3 linked regions of the Arabidopsis thaliana genome follow. The protein of the gene in region 3 interacts with the protein of the main gene of each other region in a biochemical or structural test. Each region holds a gene or a part of one and is shown on either strand. Other genes may lie near its edges. The genes, in order: CPK6, CIPK23 and NRT1.1.

The links.
Region 1: the proteins of NRT1.1 (region 3) and CPK6 form a complex in vitro, tested with the Arabidopsis thaliana proteins (one study listed by BioGRID).
Region 2: of the proteins of NRT1.1 (region 3) and CIPK23, one has a biochemical effect on the other in vitro, tested with the Arabidopsis thaliana proteins (one study listed by BioGRID).

The regions. Positions count from the first base shown.
Region 1 is NC_003071.7:7,514,185-7,520,557, reverse strand, and holds CPK6 (Calcium-dependent protein kinase family protein), read right to left. Parts: upstream 4,229-6,373; 5' UTR 3,902-4,228; exon of another isoform or gene 3,703-3,901; intron 3,615-3,702; 5' UTR 3,554-3,614; coding exon 2,836-3,553; intron 2,680-2,835; coding exon 2,536-2,679; intron 2,444-2,535; coding exon 2,291-2,443; intron 2,199-2,290; coding exon 2,083-2,198; intron 1,991-2,082; coding exon 1,823-1,990; intron 1,737-1,822; coding exon 1,512-1,736; intron 1,430-1,511; coding exon 1,319-1,429; 3' UTR 896-1,318; downstream 1-895. Other genes in the region: AT2G17280 (Phosphoglycerate mutase family protein), read right to left, coding at 5,714-5,792, 5,880-5,924, 6,019-6,138, 6,230-6,318. UniProt on the Arabidopsis thaliana protein: May play a role in signal transduction pathways that involve calcium as a second messenger. Functions in abscisic acid (ABA) regulation of guard cell S-type anion- and Ca(2+)-permeable channels and stomatal closure. Phosphorylates FD.
Region 2 is NC_003070.9:10,652,698-10,659,727, reverse strand, and holds CIPK23 (CBL-interacting protein kinase 23), read right to left. Parts: upstream 4,929-7,030; 5' UTR 4,459-4,928; coding exon 4,234-4,458; intron 4,143-4,233; coding exon 4,080-4,142; exon of another isoform or gene 3,941-4,079; intron 3,783-3,940; coding exon 3,711-3,782; intron 3,625-3,710; coding exon 3,517-3,624; intron 3,409-3,516; coding exon 3,328-3,408; intron 3,189-3,327; coding exon 3,135-3,188; intron 3,038-3,134; coding exon 2,912-3,037; intron 2,736-2,911; coding exon 2,646-2,735; intron 2,527-2,645; coding exon 2,407-2,526; intron 2,328-2,406; coding exon 2,202-2,327; intron 1,988-2,201; coding exon 1,871-1,987; intron 1,775-1,870; coding exon 1,718-1,774; intron 1,638-1,717; coding exon 1,563-1,637; intron 1,445-1,562; coding exon 1,363-1,444; coding exon of another isoform or gene 1,346-1,362; exon of another isoform or gene 1,257-1,345; coding exon 1,204-1,256; 3' UTR 828-1,203; downstream 1-827. UniProt on the Arabidopsis thaliana protein: CIPK serine-threonine protein kinases interact with CBL proteins. Binding of a CBL protein to the regulatory NAF domain of CIPK protein leads to activation of the kinase in a calcium-dependent manner.
Region 3 is NC_003070.9:4,103,123-4,110,717, reverse strand, and holds NRT1.1 (nitrate transporter 1.1), read right to left. Parts: upstream 5,496-7,595; 5' UTR 5,378-5,495; coding exon 5,263-5,377; intron 5,078-5,262; coding exon 4,900-5,077; intron 4,806-4,899; coding exon 4,766-4,805; intron 4,592-4,765; coding exon 4,017-4,591; intron 2,293-4,016; coding exon 1,428-2,292; 3' UTR 1,117-1,427; downstream 1-1,116. UniProt on the Arabidopsis thaliana protein: Dual affinity nitrate transporter. Involved in proton-dependent nitrate uptake and in the regulation of the nitrate transporter NRT2.1.

The sequences.
Region 1 (6,373 bases), on a different chromosome or scaffold from region 3:
GTAAAGTGTCATACGGCACTTCCTATCTATGGGATTGCTTCTTCATTAGGAATAAACTTCTATACAAAACAAACGAGTAGGATATAGAGAATCAAGAACCAAACATCTATGGAATAATCAAGCTCAGCAAAGTTTGAGAGGTTTATGAAGATATTAGAGACGCTAGATTTATTTATATAGATGGTAGGAGGCGGCATAACTCAAAACCCTAATCTTCTACGTGTGCGTACATGTATTGTTTAGTTTTATTATATTTTTAATCTTTGATATATGAGGATGTGCTTTATTTTCTCGTAACGACTGATTTAATGATCTTTTTTAATTTACTTTGTAGACGAAATTTGACCAATCTATTTCACCATTTTTCGGAAAACTAAATAAAAGGTGACATAAATAACTCACTGCATGTGGTGTGAAATGTATATACATTAATACATACGAACATACGATGCATATATATAAATAAGTGGGAGCACATGGTTTCCCTGTCATGTTCCAATCCACCACATTGGGACCAATGTATGATTGATTGTTTCGAACAACCTTAAGTTTGGTTCTAAGACATCACTTTGATTACATGATTGAGACTTAGTAGCTATCATCATACAGTATTCCACATTTTACATCAATTATTGCTCTTTTATTACATAAATTTTTGTGTATATACACACACTCATGTGTTCATATGTACATACATGTTTATGTACTTACAGATTCAGATGTAATTAGAGAAAGAAATTAGTGGACAGAAACTTGTAACATAGTAGTTGACTAGTTGTATTAATGTTGTCGCTATGACTCCAATTTGGAAGTATGCATGTGAGAAAAGACGACCAAAGCCGAGCTAAAAAGTTTAACAAACCAAAGTGAAGAGTATGCGTTTGTGTACTAACAACAGCAACAACAACTAAAAGGTGGAAGATTGTCACACAACTTGTATATCACATTTGTACTATATTGGAAGATGATTTGATCTTTCAAAAACCCAAAAAGGGTCAAAGCTTTCGACGATGGAGATGAAATAAAAACCAAACTTAAACAGTTGTTACAAACAAACAAAACAGAGAGAGAGAAAATAGAAATAGTCCTCACAGCTACTGATGAACAGAACTTAACACTTTTTTTTTATCTTTCACCATTTTTTAATCATACAGTAGTTTTTAACATTTTTAACTCAAACCTTCAACGATTTAGCTGGTTCGCTGCAGCTATGAATCTGGTTTCTCTTCCTCCTCTGTGATTAAACATTGCAAATGTTGATTCCATGGAAACATTTGCATCCTCACCGAATAGACGATTTAAAGATGTGTGTATGTGCCTACACATCTCTCATGCTGATGTTTAGACTATTTTTCATTGTTCTTCTCCCTACACCAGCATTTCCCTTTTGCATCATCGCAACAAATTCTTCGTAATCAATCCGTCCATCCTGTAAGAAACAAAAACCAAAACTTTATTAGCAAACACCAATGGTGAAGAGTGGAAGAATCATGTCAAGAGGCAAAGCTTACGTTGTCTTGATCTACTTCTTTGATTATGTCTTCAAGAAAAACATCGGTCATCCCATGTTCAATGCAAGATTGTTGCAGCTCATCAATGGTGATGTAACCACTTCCATCTTTGTCAAAGTACTGAAATGCAGAGACAAGATGCTCTTCTCTCTCTAGTTTATTCAGATGGATCGTCGCTGCAATAAACTCGCTGTAATCTATTGTACCGCTGTTGTCCACATCAGCCTAAGATACAACACAGAGAGTATGGTTATTGTCATCTATATAGCGAAATGAACTAGTGTGCATATCTCAAAAGGATGCATTGTTACCGCTTCCATAAGATCTCGGATCTCGGTGTCTTTCAAGGTTGATCCATATCTTCTCAAGCCAGCTTTGAGTTCATCAAAAGTGATTGCACCGCTGTTATCAGTATCCATTGCCTCAAACATTGCTCTTAAACCCGCAATCTCTTCTTCTGAGAGGCTCTCAGCTATCACCTGATCATTCCATAATCACTAATATGAGTAAACATATCTCAAACGAATGTGATGCAGAGACAATAGAAGATTGAGTATAACTACAAACTGACCTTTAAAGCCATCTTCTTTAATTTATTCATTGCAGAAAACTGTTTTAGACGAGACAAAACAGCCGGGTCAAGTGCTCTATCCGGTGCAACTCCATTCTCACAGATCCATGGATGACCTGAAAAAAAAAGAGATACATACAAGAGATATAGTCTAATGTTGTGTGGCTGCCAAATGTAACCATTTATTTAAGTGTAATTGATTACGTACGCAAGACTTCATGAGCAGTCAAACGTTCAGAAGGACTAGAGCATAACATCTTCCGGATCAGATCTTTAGCACTGTCGGATATGACAGGCCACGGGTCTGTATCAAAGTCAATATATCCCTTCAACACAGCATCAAATATTCCTTGCTGTGTTTCTGATTTCAAAAACACAAAACCAAACTTCAGGAAACCTTGTCAATGGCACTAATTAAGAGAACGCATTGAAACAGCTATATCGCCCGCATACCTGCCCAGAAAGGCGGGACACCACTTAGTAAGATATAGAGTATAACACCAGCAGTCCACACATCAGCTTCTGGACCATAATGTTTTAGAAGAACCTCAGGAGCAACATAGTATGGACTTCCAACAACATCCTTGAATATTTGGCCTGATATTAGAGTAAGACTACACATTATGCAAAGCTGAAACATTTACATTCCCTTACTCATTTGATGAATAGAAAGTCACAGTAATGTATACTACAAAACACATCATGGTACTTAAATAGATTCAGAACAATGAGAAACTCGCAACTAACGCTTACCTGGTTTGAAGAAAACAGAGAGACCAAAATCAATGGCCTTAAGAGAGAAATCATCATCCTTATTAACCAACAAGAAATTCTCAGGCTTTAAATCTCTATGCATAACACCAAGAGAATGACACGCCTCAACAACACCGACAATGATCTTGGTCAACTCAGCAGCTTTCCTCTCGCTGTAATGACCTCTATGAATAATCCTATCAAACAACTCACCACCAGCACAAAGCTCCATCACAATGTGAACATACAAAGGATCCTCATAAGCTCCTTTAATAGTAACAATATTCTTGTGACCAGCTAAATGATGCATAATCTGAATCTCCCTCCTAACATCCTCAACATCTTCTTTAGATATCAATTTCCTCTTGGATATAGACTTACAAGCATAGTCAACACCTGTGGCAATATCAGTACACAAATACGTTGTCCCGAATTGTCCTTGTCCTAACTTACGACTCAACGTGTAAAGATCACGAATGTTAGGAGTCTTGTGACCAAGAACATAGTAAGATTGATTGTCAACGTTACGCCGCATAATGGGTTCTTTAACAGGAATCACAAGAGCTGGATTGGTGTTCTGTTTGGAGAAATCTTGGTCTGTAGTAGGAGAATGAACAGAGGAAACAGTAGTGGTGGTGGATTTGGAATTCTCCTCGGGCCTACTATGATTGCCCTCGTAGATTTTGTCCTTAAAAGAACCACGACATGAATTGCCCATGAAACAAACTCTCTCTATTTCACAACTTTTTTCACTTTCTTCTTCTCCTCATCCAACGAAACTGTTTCATGAACAAACATACACAAAAAAAATCAGATAAAGAGAAGCCAAAAAAGTATCAAACTTTGGAACGAAATCAAAGAACCCACATCAGATCAAGCTTCAAAAAACATAATTGTTTTGTAACATAATCAAAGATTAAAGAAAAAAAGACAAGAGCTCCTGAAAAGTCGTAGCTTTAAATGTTCATCGATCATTATAGATCCCAAAAAAGAATCAAAGACACAACAATAAATGAAGAAATCATTTGGTAATAAAAGAAACATGAGAAAACAGAGGATCTAGTACCGGAATATAGCAGAACAGCGAGAAGACGATGAAATGGAGACGAAGAAGAAATGGGAAAAACTCAAAAAAGGATAATTATTCGTTGATAGTTTTTGTTTAAGTCAATAACAAAAGAGAAAAAATGGTTTCTTTGTTATGTTATTGTTTAATAGTATATATCTCTATATGTGTTGCTGTTTCTGGTTGGGTAATTGGATTCGTTGAATCATTAGAGAGTGTTAAAAAGATTGATTCTTTTGTGGATTTGTGAAATGATGAAGGAGAGAGGATGGTGCAAAGAAGAAAGGTCTTTTACGCGGTTTCGTCTCACCTTCTTCATTCCTTAATTGCTTGTTTAATTAGTATTAATTTAAGGGATCATCATCTTTTACTGGTGTAATGATACTTAGTGCAAGTAGGGAGAATAAAAAATTGCAATAATTTGTTTAGGATAACTTATTATTAAGAGAATGATTATAAGCCTAACGTTATACTAGCTTTTTTTAAGAGTTGGATGTGCTTAACTTAGCTAACTACAAAATATTATTATTAGATGCATATAGTTAAGAGTTAATTTATGGTCTTGATTAACAGATCGAAACAATGGACAACTAAATTTGTTCTGAAAACTCAAGTTTTATTATGTTGACTTTTCACATTGGTTCATCAAAGATGTCACATTCTTTTTTACTTTTGCTAGTATATAGGCTTTCTTGAATAAACATTTTGGTATGTCTACGTTGAAATAACAACTAGTACAGTATAAATCAAACTTTTAGCACTGAAAGTTTTGCATAATTTTACCAATAATTAGTGAAGTATATAGGATATCACTTTTTTCTTACAAGAACTAAGGCATGGGGCATGTCATTGTCGGGTAGTGAGTAAGATCGCAGACTACAATTTGTCTCGCACGTGGTACAAATTTAGTTTGGGTGTACTTTTTTTTTCTTTTTGACATCACAGTATTGTACTTACAGTTTTTTTATTTTCCAATAGATAACTTTACAAACCGTGAATCATATCATTTAAAAAAAAAAATCGTTCTCTTAAACGGATAAGAAGCTAGACCTACTTTAAATTTTACATTGTCGAGTGTTCTTTAAAAGATCTTATCATATGTTCAAAATTGGGGAACAAAAAATTTCGAATTCCTAATGGTAAAAGCTTTCTCCAATAGTTTGGAGAGAGCGTAATTTCTATAAAGAATCTGAATACGATTATCGATTATATTAAAGTCCAAATACATAGAACGTACGAAGAGCATTAAACTTTGATCTACTTCTATAAAAACACTTAAAACATTTTCTATTTTCATAAAAAATCTCAACACCAAAAGATAAAACCTAGTACTATAAGAAAAGCTGAGTGTAATTTTTGGAATTTTCTCTTTGTTTTATTAAAATGCTTGGCCATAAGAAAATTCAACACAGCTGCCATAAAATATGAAGTTGATCTTACATAAATAATGTTTTAAGTTTCTGCTGGTTCTCATGTTGATAGAGATAAATCTACTCATCTAAGATTCACACTTATAATTTAGTTGCATCTACCAGTTCCTCTACTTGTAATGCTATTATTTCCACAATTGTATAATCACAGCTAAAATGAGAATTGGAGCAGAAATATTAAAGCTACCGCTAAATTTTGGATAATAACAATCATACAATAAATTCATGTAGCAGCAGAGTCAACCTACATGGCTACATACCAACACTAATGTTCATCAAATAACTGAAAATGCCAGATTCTAGTCCAATGGAAACATCATGTAATTTATTTATTTTAGAAAGAAAAACTATCTCAGAATTCTCTCTCTTACTCTTCAGCCATTTAGCCACTAGGATTATCAAGTCCTTCAGGAACCTTCCCAGGATAGTTTGTGGTCTCTGCAGAGTCAGTCCCCAGGTTCCTACACACCCAACACCATAATAAATAATCCAACACACTCTCAAATTATATTTATATTCTGTCAAAACTTATTGTAATTATTGCTTACCCTCGATCCACGATAACCATTGAGCGAAGCTCACAGTTGCTCAAACTGAACAAAGTTAAAGATGTTGATTAGTTAAACAGTTTCAAGTTATACAAATTGTTGGTGCTTGTAGACATCAAGTTTTTGTTTAAGCTCTTACTGTATAGACAACTCTTTCTTTAGGTCATCGCAACAATCCTTCCCGAAAGAACTCAAGAGACCGTGCAAGAAGCCACTGTGAGATACAATTGCGATCTCCTTCTCTTTCCTTGTCCATATCCTTCACAAAGCAAATGGCAGTAGAGAGATTCAGCTATACATATGTTTACATATATCTCCATGTGGAAATAAGTAACAAAAATGAAACTCACCATTTGATGAACTCTACACCTCTGGCTGCAACTTCTTCAAGGCTCTCTCTTGGACTCGGCTTCCACAGAACATCATTGTCGGTTTCAATCTAAAACCATAGAGGTCAAAGCATAAGCAACTTGCCAACATTTCCACAGAGATAT
Region 2 (7,030 bases), 6.5 Mb from region 3:
ACATCTTTCATATTCATTCGATCTCTTTAATTAAAAAATCATAGATCAAGGTAAACACAACAACTAATCAATCTCCACATTATACTAAACATTTTGATAGAAAAACAATATTTTGAGGATAAAAAATACTTAATACAACTGAAAACCAAAAAAAAATGAAGAACATGCATATTCTAATTGAAAAGTGAAACATTTCTAAAACTATATATATATATATATTTCAATTAAAAAATAGACTATTTAGTTTTATTTTGAAACAATTTATACTTTATATATATATATAAAATGACCCCCATGAAGAAAAACTTTGCCTCCGCCACTAACCACGAGGACCAAACTCTTTCTCCACATCCACAACAGCCTTAGCTGTTTCTAAACCAACAGGACCAACCTCCTCCTCCACATCTACAACATCCACAACAGCCTTAGCTTCATCCAAACTGTGAGGAACAAACTCCTCATCCACATCCACATTAGTTGTTTCCAAATTATGAAGACCAACCTCCTCCTCCTCCACACTCTTAGCTACAGCCTTACCTGTTTCTTAGCAATAAACAAGAGAGTAATACAGAAGAATAACAAAACCCCTAATTGAAGAATTGGTGTTCTTGTTCACATCTTCTTCGCCCTCAATTATTAATACAGAGTAACTTGGCCACCAAGTTTTCCATCTCTAAATTTTTGTTATAGTATTTGGTCCGACATAATCTTTATTGATATTTTTCTTTCCTTGATTTTGGTTTTAAAATCTCACTAACTTCAAGTCATGCTATATATTCAGTTTGTTTTGTCTACACTGATATTGGTTTTCAGTCCGCTTTCCTTTTTCAGGTTTTAAAATTATGAAAATAAATTTCGATTTGGTTCACACACAAGTGTTAGTTTGTTTTCAGTACATTTGAACTGAAATATCTATCGAATCTCAGCGTCCGACAATATAGAAATTGCAAAACCAAATCTGTAAAGCTTTTACTTTCCGGTTAATCGATTCAAGCCAAGAACCTCGCAACACGCATATGCTATTCACAACATTCCATGGAATCAAACATGATTAAAATATCAATAATCCCCATTCCCCAATATAGTTTCAAACTGCTTCTGCTCCACTTCTTGACGCTTCCTTTTGTATTAACTTCAAAACCACTCCGTACTACTATAGTAATTTATAACGAACAAAATCTATATTAGAAAAAAGTAAACAGCTTATGTCGACTGTTTTGCAATTGTCCGGTTAGCCATGGCACCATTAGTACCACCTGAAACATGAAGAAACAAAACAGGATTTGTGTTTACATGTTTCGTTAGTTTCTCCTTTTCTAGGAGCTTTATCTAAAAAACAGAGTATTCAAGGCAGATACTTACCACCATCGGTTCCTTCCTCTTTCTCTTCGTCGATGGTTTTCCAAACAATGTCCTTAAGTCCCGTGGTAAGGTTCTTGTAAAACTAAAAGAAGAGCAAGAAAGGATGCAAAAAGGTAAAGATTCAAACATCAGTTACTGGAAGACCATTTGACAAGCTCGGGTTTGATACAACCTGATCAGCATTAATAACCCTTGCATACCTTGTGGAATTCCAATGTGTCACCCCCTGATTTTCGCATTTCAACCATGTAAAGAGATGGAGCAACTTGAAAAACCTGAAGGTAGATGTCAATTAACTTAAATTAGGTTCAGCCAACCATACAAAGGGTGATCACTGGTCATTGTGAAAGCTAACCTCAGTGGCAACTGCCAACTGACCCTTGCGGCCTGATTTCTCTCCTGTCAGCTTCATCTGAAGGAGTTGAGAAATGGTTAAAGGGTCTATTCAGAAGCAACAAACCAATACACAACTCCACAGCATTGGGTAAATACGTAACAGTATTCTAACCTTGTAGTTATTTGTCTTGACATCAAACCCCATAGGTGCTGCCGCAGCCTCAATTTTTGTAACTATCTCATTAGCCGAAGATTTGGAAGTAAATCGAGTTTTTCGTTTCACCAGCCCCTGAAATCAGAGAAGCTTATCAATCAGAATGACGACTTCTATCAAACTAAGTACGGGCTTCCAAAGAAAAGTATTGGTCACTAAAATTTTGTGGCAAAGCTACTTCTTATTAGGTTTGACCAAAACCGCAAAAAGATAGTTAAAAATTGTCAACAAAATAAGAGCCTTGGGGGACGAAATTTAAAGACCAGCTTTACGTATCAGACTTCTGTACCATTTGTTTTTCGAAAAGTGAACCGAGATTGAGACCCTGGGATGTCGAGATGAGCTCAAAAGCATTCATCGTTACTGGTGTTTTGAGTCCTTCTTCTCGCCTCTCCACAACAAGATTCTTAGACTCCTATTAACAAACAAAAACAACTGAGCAATCATCCCGGACAAAGTACCGAAAAAAACAAACAAAAGAACACTAGCCTTACCCCTGAGTCATCAAAGATTGCATCAACATCATCAAGGCTGACATCAGCATTCTCAAATTTAGGTGCTTTATACCCTTTTTTAAACCACTCATTTTCAATGACCTCAGCAAATGTAATCCTCTGCCCAATATAAAAAATCAGTGTAAGCCTTCAGATCTACTCAATCCTATAGAAGCTTTTGCCTCTTCAAAGGAGAGATCCTCTAATATAAATTATATAATAGGGTAAGAAAAATATACCGTTGCTGGATTGGGATCCAGAATTCTTTTGATTAACTTCTTAGCACTTGCAGAGAACCAGGGAGGGCAAGTAAATTCTGCTTTGAATATCTGTAATTATGAAGAAAGAAAATCAGGTGGCTTTTATGCTATATACGTCTCATACAAAAATGACAGAGGCTTTTATACAGCCACCCAAATGCACCTAGACCTTGAAGCCTTTCTGATAGCATGTAAAATGATATGTATCAAAAGAAAAGCAAAAGAAGAAGAGGCAAGCGTAATACCTTTTTATATAACGACGTCAGGTTAGAATCTTCAAAAGGTAAATAACCAGCCATTAAAACAAAGAGAATTACTCCACAAGACCACAAATCAGCCTTCGCTCCATCATAACCTTTGTTGTTGATTACCTAGGGAGAAAATATAGAAGGTTACTGAGACTAGAAAATAATAGAATTCAAGTTTTGAGAAAATTGTGTGTCAGTTTTCAGTAGCAGTTGCTAATACCTCCGGAGCAACATAATTGGGTGTTCCACAGGTTGTGTGAAGTAACCCATCCTCCTAAAGAAAAAGGGTCACAAAATCAGCTTTTGAATAAATCATGGAAATCTTTCTCCTTAGAAGCCATAGTAGCTGAATTATCGAACTATGATATTTACAATGAAATGATAGAAAAAGAAATCAATATCTCGATGCTCACTCGAACTTGCTGAGGTAGAGCGCTCAATCCAAAGTCAGACACTTTCAAAGCACCATTAGCATCCAAAAGCAAATTTTCTGGCTGCAACCAGAATGTGCAACATGATTCAAACACATCAAACTTTTATTCTGATGCCAATTGATTCACAAGAAACCCTATGCAAGAGGATCACAAAGTAAGATTCCTAACCTTAAGGTCTCTATGATAAACTCCCCTGCTATGACAATAATCAACCGCATTAATCAGCTGTTGGAAATACTTCCTCGCCTCATCTTCCTTCAATCTCCCATTGCTTGACTAATACATGACAATTCTAAAGAATTAAGATCTCATTTCCACATAGTATTAAGAAAAAAAAAACACATCTTTCAATGAAATCTTACAATTTTATCGAAAAGCTCCCCACCAGTGACGAATTCCAAAACGAAGTAGATCTTAGTTTTGCTAGCCATCACCTGAAGAAGAAGAAGAAGAAGAAGAAGAAGAAGAAGAAGAAGAAGAAGAAGAAGAAGAAGAAGAAGAAGAAGAAGAAGAAGAAGAAGAAGAAGAGAATCTGTAACTACAAAGATACCAAAAAAATACATAGAATAATCAAATCCCTTATATTACATACATATGATTAGCCAGGGACCACAAATATGTTCCATAACTTCAAACGAATCTCAGCTTATAGCACAAATCTATAGAACAACAACAACAACCAAAACGTGCAACACAACTTTGAATTCAGCTTTATAGTATCAGAATCAAACCTCAAACATACGAATGACATTCGGGTGCTTGATCAATTTCATCGTCGAAATCTCACGCTTGATCTACAAAATCCAAAATCAAAGGTTATATCACAACTGCGTAAATCAGATTCCCAATAAGAACACAGCAGCTGGAGAATTGTATAATACATACCTGAGCGATCATCTTATTTTTCAGAACTTTCTCTTTATCAATAACCTTAATAGCGACATTATCACCATTCTCAACATTTCTAGCGAATTTGACCTTAGCGAAAGTTCCTTCACCCAAAGTTCGTCCAAGCTCATACTTACCAACTCGTGTCCTACCACCAGAAGAACTACCAGAAGGCGTTGATCGTGAAGGAGTCGATCGTGAAGGCGTTGTTCGAGAAGCCATCTCTCTCTCTATATATATATCTCGGTCTCTTATATATATATAGATAGATCTCTATTGAATCAGGAGGAGGACCTCTTCTTCTTGCATGGCTGCCATACTTGGGATTTCGCAACGCTCATCGTGAGAGATCTGCAGAAGAATTAAAACCCTAAGGGACCGGAGACCATATAAACAGCCGAAAATCAAAATTCAACTCTCGTGTGCGGAGAAAATTCAATTTGGACGAAGAAGAAGACTCATGAAGACGAGATTTGTATTTGAAGTGAAATTTTGTCAGTAGGGAAAATTCTGGGAATCGTAAATTTCGGCTGCTTTAGAAAAATCGAAGCCGGTTCTGGGAAAAAGCGAGTAACAGCAAGCGAGAGAGAGAGAGATTGTGATTCGATGGTGGAAGGAATTTAAAAGTTAAATTAAGAAGTAAATTAGTTAAGGAAATGTTTAATTAAAATTCTGTTTAGGGATTATACGAGGAAGGTTGTATCTGTAGGTTCTGACGTATACTATAGTTTACATTTTAAATTATTCTAGGCTTATCTTAGTCTTTGATAATTTAAATGCAAACGTTATGGACTTATGGTGATTACAGAAAATTATGTCATCCTTTTTTATCAAATATAAATAAAAGTAAATATTTTACTTTTTTACATGCCGTGTAATTAGCTGTCATAATTTTTTAAAACAAAATTTCGAAAAAGAAAATAAAAAATATGATATTTTCTCCAACCGAATAATCAACGATTTCAAAAGAGTTAAAGAACGACAGTAAAGAATTTATAAATTTTTCTTTATCTTTAATTTCTCGTAAAAATAAAAACAGATAAATTAGTACAAAAAAATTCTTACCTAACTTAAATAATATTCTCGAAATTGCTCAATTAAATTCTAATTAATATTAATTATTAAAATATATATATATATATATATATATATATATATGCAAACTTTTAATAAAAATATTGAACTAAGTCCACCACTTATCCAATTAGCTGCCATCACTTATCCAAGTATCTTTTTATACTCCGAGATTCCAAACATGTGTACTTATAAGATTTATAAAACGTAAGAGGATCTTTTATTTACTCTAATAAATACTATTGATTAGATTTGAAACGTCCAATTGAACTTTTGATGTTATGGAAAAGCCGTTACCAGTATCAAGGAGCTACGTGCCCTTTTCAATACTAAATGTTTCACAAAAGGGGCACTTAATGATACAAACCATTAAACATTAAATTTTCGATGGTTCGATCAAATGTTTAGAATCTTCTGTCTAGATTATATATGTGTTTGTGTTTCTATAAGAAATAATGCTCTATTATAAATACAGTATACAGTTATCAACCTAACTAGTTATACTTGTTTTTTCAACCCAAAATAGTTTAAACCTAGTTTCTGATTTTTATGGTGCTCATCAAAGAGAATGTTATCTAATAATCATCGTATTAGCATAAAACAATAGAACCAAATCATTGGTGGGCAAATGTACATACACATGACCTTGCCACGTTTTCTTGAAAGGGTTTGACTTTACAATTGATAGCCCATGAGGCCATGACCATCATGATGCATATTTTTAAAAATAAAAGTTATCTGATTCATATATATTCATACTCGTTTAGTCGTTGAATGTAAATTCTCAAATCTTTTCATCATAATTTTCTTCAGTTGATGATCATTGCAGATGCTTTAGATTGAAAATTATATTTAATCTCTTAAAAACCCTAATGTGTAAATAATGACTTTCTTATCAAGAAAGTATATTCCCGGTCAGTCATTATAATATTTGACCTCGGAAATAAAAATAAACCGACCCACGAGTTCGTGTTTGTGATCAGAAAACTAAATTAACGGAAGTTAACAGAAACAATCATGTTCGAGTGTCTGTTGGAGGCAACCAAGACATTATTATTTGCTTAATTAAAATGATTTTACAAAGCGTACAATATCTCTTTCTAACCTAATAATACCAAAACTAAACCCTTTAACAAAAAGAACATAACACCAAAATTCAATTCTAATAAGAATCAAACAATAATAATCTTTTTAATCGGTCGAGTTAACTGTACTTGAGACATATAGTCACAATTATTTTAAATCTATGTTTGATTATTTTATACGTAAATATATTTAAAAGTTCATCATTAGTAATTAAATTTTGAACTTTAACGGTAAAAGAAAAAAAAAATAACGTAAAATAACGTTGTATTATCTGTATATTTGTCATATATGACTACATTTATTTCAGACATAGTATAAACTTGGTTGATGTTTCTCTTGTGATTAAAACATATATTTCAGTGAGAACATATACTCGCCAGGTTTCTCGGATGATAACTAATATCCCTTTATTATTTTAAGGGAAGTACAAATTGAAAGTTTGTTTAATTTGGCCTCAATTTTGATTTCAATTTTGGATTTTGTTCTCTGATATTCAAAATCATTAAGGGTAATTTGGTATTAACAACCTCCTAAACTTTATATGATCCGATTCAATCTAAACCGTTCAATAAAATTAATTCACTTCAATATAAACCATTCAACAAAAGTAAGGAATTTATGTCGTTTTTAAAAT
Region 3 (7,595 bases):
AATCTAAAGAGTCATGCTTAAATAAATCCAACCAACATAACTATCGAACCTGTTGCAACACAACAATATTTGTCACAAAAAAAAACAATCGTTTCAGAGGGACAAGATATTCTAAAGTAAAGACTTGTCAAGCATTAACTTTGAAGAGAAGATTGTATTGGCTGAGTGATAGGGTTCTCTTCATCCATTGTTTTCTGTTTTTTCCTTGGTCGTCCTTGAGGTTTCTTGGGTGGTTTTGGCACTGCTTTACGCTTGCATGAACGTTTGTTGTGTCCGACTTGTTGACAGTTGCTGCAAGTCTAAATATGCAAAGATTAAATTAAATAATTTGAAAAAGAAGATCTTGTGAAACATAATTCATTGTTTTCTATTTTACCATTTGAACTTTTTCACGTGTATAAGGAACTTTTTGAGGTGGACGATCTTCAGTTGGATCACGGATTCTGTCATTGTTCTTTGGTCGATTTTTGGAAATTAATATCCCATTAATATTTAATTACTGTAGGGTTAAGTTTATTAACAGGTTTTAGTTCAGGGTTTGTTTTACTAAAAACATAGTTCAGGGTTTAAAAATGGATCTGGCCAAAATTGAGGGTTTTTTTCATTAAATTCCCTATAAACAATTCGATAGTAATTCATCGAAATTATAGCTAATAATTGGTATTTATCTGATTGAAAAATAATTGAAAAAAAAAACTGGATTGTTGATCAGTTTAGACTTTAGACTGATGATTCTTTATCCAATTAGCTACATAGTTGAAAGATATAAAAGTATATATCCAAAAAATAAAAGTAACAAGTGTAAACAAATAAAAGTAATATTCATCATTTGTCATATTTAATTTGTATTCATCATGATTATATATGTTTTGGACTTAATCATGCAGCTCCTTGATAATTCAAATTAATCACTTGACCAGTAGTCATCGAGAGACAATTGAGCCAGTAAATTCACAGAGCTCGGTCATAATTCAATTATAGTTTTAAAGACAACTTTTTTTGTTTACCAATATTACAAAAGAAAGGTGTGATAGTCCACTAGGCACTAGCTAGTGGCCTAGACGCCTAGTTCTGGTCCAAATTATTCACATATTCGAAAACAAACGATACCAAAACAAGTGAGAAAACAAACGTTGAATGGTATGATAATTTACTGGGAAAAAATGAAAAATGGAAATTGAAGACAAAAAGACGTTAATTGCGTCAAATCTTAAGAAATGTTACAATTTCTGCTTTTATACAGAACCTGATGGGAAAACTTTAACTTTTATCCCTTATCGGTCGGTCCATTATTTGTCGACTCGGAAACAAGAGGTAATTAAGAAAAGCATCATAAAATATACAAACAAAACTCAAAATCAAATTCAAACATATCAACATAGACATGCATAATGTTCATCATCATGATCATGATCATGAATTCATGATCAATGACCCATTGGAATACTCGGCTCATCATCCAACTCAATCCCCACCTCAGCTAGTCTTTTTTCCTTGTAAACGTACCACTTGGAGAAAACTAGGAAAATGAGGAAGTTCAAGGCAACAAGTACGGCCACAAGCCAGTAGAAATTGTAAAGACGGCCCTTGTTGAGATCATCGGCAATCCATGGATGAGCTTTCCCGGTGAATTTCTCGACGATTGTCACGAGAACCGAGCTGAAGAAAAAGCCTAATGCCAATGTGCTCAACAATAGACCCGTGCTCATCCCTTTCATACCTTTAGGGCACTCTCTCAAGAAGAAATCTAACTGTCCTGTGTAGATTAACGCTTCGCCGATACCGACAATAAGATATTGTGGGATGAGTAGATAAAACCCTAGAGGAAGCGTTTTGACTGTTGGACCATGAGCGTGTGCAGTTCTAAGACGTTTGAGCTCGACCAAAGCAGCCACAGCCATAGCCATTGATCCGAAGAAAAGCCCCAAACCGATCCGTTGAAGCGGTCTTAGACCATGGGGGTAGTTGAATAGCTTTTTGCATAGACGAATGGCGACGCGGTCATAGACGGCGGTGGTTAGGAGGAGGCCACCGACGTAGAAGACTGCCATCGATGCTGGAGGGATCTCGAAGCTCCCGATGGAACGGTCCAATGTCTCGGATTGTGCGACTGATAATGTCGTTAATTGAGCGTGGACGGTCCAGAAGAGGATGCATGTTGCCCAAATTGGTAACATTCGCACGATTTGTTTCACTTCCTCAACATCTGTTAGTGTTGAGAGTGTCCACTTGTTGAATACATTCGAGGTAACTCCCGCTTCCTGATCCCTTATTGCTGCCTTATCTAATGAACTGTGGCATCAAAAATGATATAAGGAATAATTAGAATATAATAGTAAATTATGTAAAATGGAGATAAAATATTTTACATATATTGGATTAAAGATAAGTATCTGATTTTTCAAACCAAAGATCTTTTGTGTGTTTCTTAGAAAATTATGAAGTGTCCCTATTTATTGAAATTTCATATCAATAATACATTGTTTCTTTTTTTGGAATATAGCTTACGCATTGAATATTTGAATCAACATGTTGTGGAGATAGTTACGTGGAATCTTTTCAAGATGATATATCCTTCACACACATGCATGACAAATACGTAATTGCTTTTAAAATAGTGTAGGCAAAAAAAAGTTAAGAGTTTGAATTTATGGAAAAGTGTAAAAGGTTTTTTCTTTAGTTTTCAACTACCTTTTAGAGAGACCCAAACGAAAGAGAAATTTAATGAAGCACCGAGCACGCAAAGCACGTGTCGTGCATGTGACGCTAGGGTTCTTAATTATGCCTAACTTTGGGTCTGTCCCGGTGAAGGTGTAAAGTAGTGGAGGTGCTACGACACGATATTTGATCGTTTTCACTACAGACAAAACACCTGCCTCCCTACCCTAACTTCTCGTCTCTTCTTCTTTATTAGTTTTATTTCCGAGAAAGGGATTCCAATATCTAGAGATGCTAAATAGATTTTCCATAAATTATCTGGTATAAAGAAAAATTGATTCCTTTGGATTCTTTTATTTCTATGTAGGTATGCATAGGGATTGATGGATAAAAGATACTGTACTTAAGTTAGCAAAAATAAAAGATACCGTACTTAAAGGGGGAAAACTCACGAGTCAGGGGAATATAAATATAGATATATGTGTGTCAGTGTATGTGTATTTAAAGTTATAAGGCATTAGAATCATAATCATAATTATAATACTATAATAAAGATAAAATAGCAAATTGGTGTATTTAATTTTCCGCAATGATGAAGATACTCTTTCTGTAAAAACCAAATATTCTACGAGTGGGTGTGAAATTTTTTATAGGCAAAAAGTAAAGATGGAGAATTTTACCCCACTTGATATCACTTGCATATACTTATTCATTTGTTTATCTGAATTACTTTATCTTTCCGACTAATTCCGAGAGACTACTTTTATTTTCCTACCTATTCTATGAACCGAACTTAACGTGTTATCTAACAAAGATATACACATGCACACACACATAGGATTTTAAGGAAAAAATATACAATATAAAATGCCAAAGTAGGGACTTTGAACCCAAAAATCCAAAAATGTTGTAATTAGCTGTATAATTCGTATCCTGGACCAGTTTCGCTGTATGGTCGAGTAATAATATTATGAAAATAATTTATTTTCCCCGTAACAAAAGACAAAGAAAGATATTCAACACCTTTTAATTAATTTATAATGGCTGTCAAAAAAAAATGATTTCTAATGCCAAGTAGGCATATAATGAGAAATATTTACGGTCCCACTATAATTAAAGGACACGAGCATTTCGAGTTATTTCTCACCCACACAACCCCACTTTTAATTTCACATTTTTAAAGTCTACTGATACTATCACATTTAATTAAGGGAACCAGTACCTCAATTATTTCAATTAACCCTTAAATGGAAAAGAAAAAGAAAAATTTTAAAACTTTTATCTTAAAATTTAAATCATTGTAAGTTTTGAGGATCGTACGTGGAAAGCAAATGATGAGTTAATTAAAAGAATCGTACCGGAATTGTTCAGTGTGTGGCAGCTTTTGTTTACCCTTCATCGAACCTTCCGCCGCAATAATATCATCCACATCGTAGAGATAGGACGGATCTGCCGGCAGCTCGAGCTTCCTATTCCTCCACGCCGCCACGATAACCGCAGCAACCTGCGTCATCGGGCTACCGATCAACTTCTTGAAACGGTAGCGGTTTGTTCCGGCCAAGAAAACGCTGAGTGCAAGCACGATCGCAAACGCGCAAATTCCATAGCCCCATTTGCGTCCAACATCGTCTTGTACGTAGACAAGGACCGTCACAGCTAAAAGAGAGCCAACGTTGATACAAAAGAAGAAACGGTTGAAGAAATATGTCATTTTCGATCGTTCTTTTGGTTCGGTCTCATCGAATTGGTCCGACCCGAAACCCGAGACACTAGCCTTCACGCCTCCCGTTCCTAGAGCGGTGAGGTATAAGGCTAAGTATAGGACCGTCAGTTGTATTCCACTTGCTTGTTCGCAGTGAGACGACGTTGTTGGATTGCATCTTGGTGGTCGAAGTCCCGGTATGATTGTTGATAGAGTTAAGATTGAAACACCCTGATAGCATCATAGTTCATAACACGGATATTATTTTTCGGAAAACTATAACAAAAATAACGACTTATGCTGTTTACTATTTCGATTTGTTTATTGACTAGACAATATTTTTATTTTCTTCGTTTTCTTGGGTATAAGTTTTGGTAAGGAGAAAGGGACTTTTGAGGTCCTTACCGTGGCTTGGATTGCGGCGAATATAGCAATCGTTAGGTACCTATACAAAACAAAATGAATGAACTCAAATTAATATTTTAAAAAGAATCTGAATGATTTTAGTTAAGTAAATATAAATATATTTATAGACAAACCTGCCGAGAAAGGTATCGGCGATGAAGCCACCGAGGAGACAGAGCATGAAAGAAGTTCCGAGGAAATTGGTAACGGTGTTAGCCGCAGTTGCATTGCCTAAATGCATAGTTCCCGTCAAATACGTCACCAGATTAACTCCGATACCTAACGTCGTCAGCCTCTCCACGGCCTCAATACCTTCACACAATAAAATTTTGTTAATGATAAAGTTGGATACATCGAGAATACATAAAAGAATAAGAATGATAGCCATAAGAAACTTATAACTTAGTAAATGCCATTAAAAAGTTTCAATTCTTGTCTTCAGCATGTATATTGTTGGTAGCTTTTCTCTAGAACTTTTATTATGTGATTATACTTACAAAGAATCATGGCGGCGCTGGCCCAGCCGCCGGTTTTTGAGCGATCGGCGGGACGGCCTTGGAAGTCCCAAGCATCAAGAAGGATATCATCAGATTTAGTTTCAGGAAGAGACATCTTGAAGATGGATTAATGATCTCTCTCTTTTTTTTGCAGTTTTTGGGGGTGTTTGTTCTTATGTAAAAGGCTGTTTTGTTTGAGAGCTCTTGGTTTCTTTTGTGGTCTTAAATGTGTTCGTTGATACATCTATTTATACTGGGAAACTAGCCAAGTTAAAAAAGTTTTTATTGTTTTATTTTGATTTTTTATTCATAAAACTAAAATATTGAAGAAAAAAGTGACACATGTGTGACTCTGATGAGTGTTGTTTGATTGGGGAGAGAATAATTAATAATAATAACTACTACTGTAACTGTAGTATATATTTGTAGAAAGAGAAAATTGAGAGAGAGAGAAAGAGACCATACCTAAATTTTACCACTTCCTCTACCTTTGGAACTGTGGGCTTGAACTTTTAAGTTGAAGTCATCGGTCATTTTGTCAGTGATTCAATGGCATTAGCCATTAAAAGCACCAGTTTTAGCCACCACCTGTTTTACATTTGTTCTATTTCTTGGAAAATTATTTTACTTCCATGAAAGATAATACAGTATGTTTTTTACGTCTGTACTATATATGGAAAATAATTCAAAATAATTGATTTCTGTGTTACAAACGCATTTTCATCAATATTGTTCATTTGAGATTTTGTAGTATTGTCGAGGCATATCTATTTCGTTTTTTGAGTTTGCCCAAAAGAAAAAAAAAATCTATTTCGTTTTTTGTTTGCTCAATATCAACTTTACTTCTAGGCCCATTCAGTTGTTCTGCAGCACAGCCATATCACAAAAATTTATTGATAATCGACTCATATTAATTTGAGAGTCATGTTTTCTTTCACATGTAATTATCAAATTATAATTTTATTGCATATAGTTTGAGGAAACTATTAAATTATATGAAATTTCAATCAAAACATCTTTATAGAAGTCAATAAAAGTCCTTTTAGGTATTTGCTTTTTGTTTGTCAACAATCTAGGTCTTTGTTACAAAATTGAAACCAAAGATTTGTAGATGTTGGTATGATTACGTACCAATTTTTTCTTCTTTTGTGTTAATGGGAAAGTCTACCTTGAGATTTAATGGCTCAAAATGAATGCTTCTTAGACGCCACTAAAATGAATCATGCTGCAATATGATTATTACCCTACTTTCCATTTATTTAACGTATAGTGAAATAAAATAAATAAAGAGCATGGTCACAGGACTTTCATGAACTATATATATAATTGGAAGTCTCGCAACTTCAATGGTTCTCTTTCTCTCTGGAGAAAACATATATAGGAGTATAAAGAAGAAGAACAAAGGTCATTTTCATTTTATAGAGCCAACAGAAAAATAAAAATAATTTATTCCAACAATTTGTAAGAGATGGTTAGTTAGTTTTATTAATAAGTCTCAAAGTCTATGTAAAATATCCAATATAAAAAACGAGTCAATTTTCAAGAAAAGCAAGAAATTGTATGTTACAGAAGTAAAACATACATTTGAATCAGTTTTTTATTTATTTATTAAGTAATTGATGAATTTCTATCCTCAATTAGTTAATTTTCGAAATTTATAAAATTTATTGTATACTATGTGTCATGATCCATCTCTTTCCGAGTTATTGATATGCAGATCGATGAAATTTTGAACCCATCAATAAACACTTTCTTCGTTGCTAGTTTCATATTGCTAAATTTACTATAATATCCCCAACAATCGATTATTTTGTACACATCCAAAGATTGTGGAAGAGCGAGAACAAAAAAGTCACAATGAAGAGTCCCATCCAAAAAGAAAAAGAGAACGAGTGGTGAACCCAAATATATTATCTTCTATTGAAATTAAATTAATAAACACATCCTCCGAAAAGGAATAAGAAAATAAATTAATGGAAACTTATAAAAATAAACCCTAACTTCAAAATTGGAAAATAAAAATGAAAATGGATGGATCAAATGTTTTGGGCGGAGCTGGCTTTTGCTTATAGGTATATCTCAGGGCCCAGATTTTTGGCACGTGATAGTTGGTAGGACCACGTGAGATTCTCCCTCAGCGTTGACTCGGTCATTTCAAGAGGATGAATCTTAATCGACATTAGCAGTTAGCACGAACAAGGAAACTACCTTTTGCTTCAATTTTAATTTTTGAGTTTTACATTCAAAATGAAGATTTACAGTTTATAACAAACGTATAATTCATTAACGAATAATCTTCTGACAAACCATCAGAGTAAAAAAAAAAAAAAGGC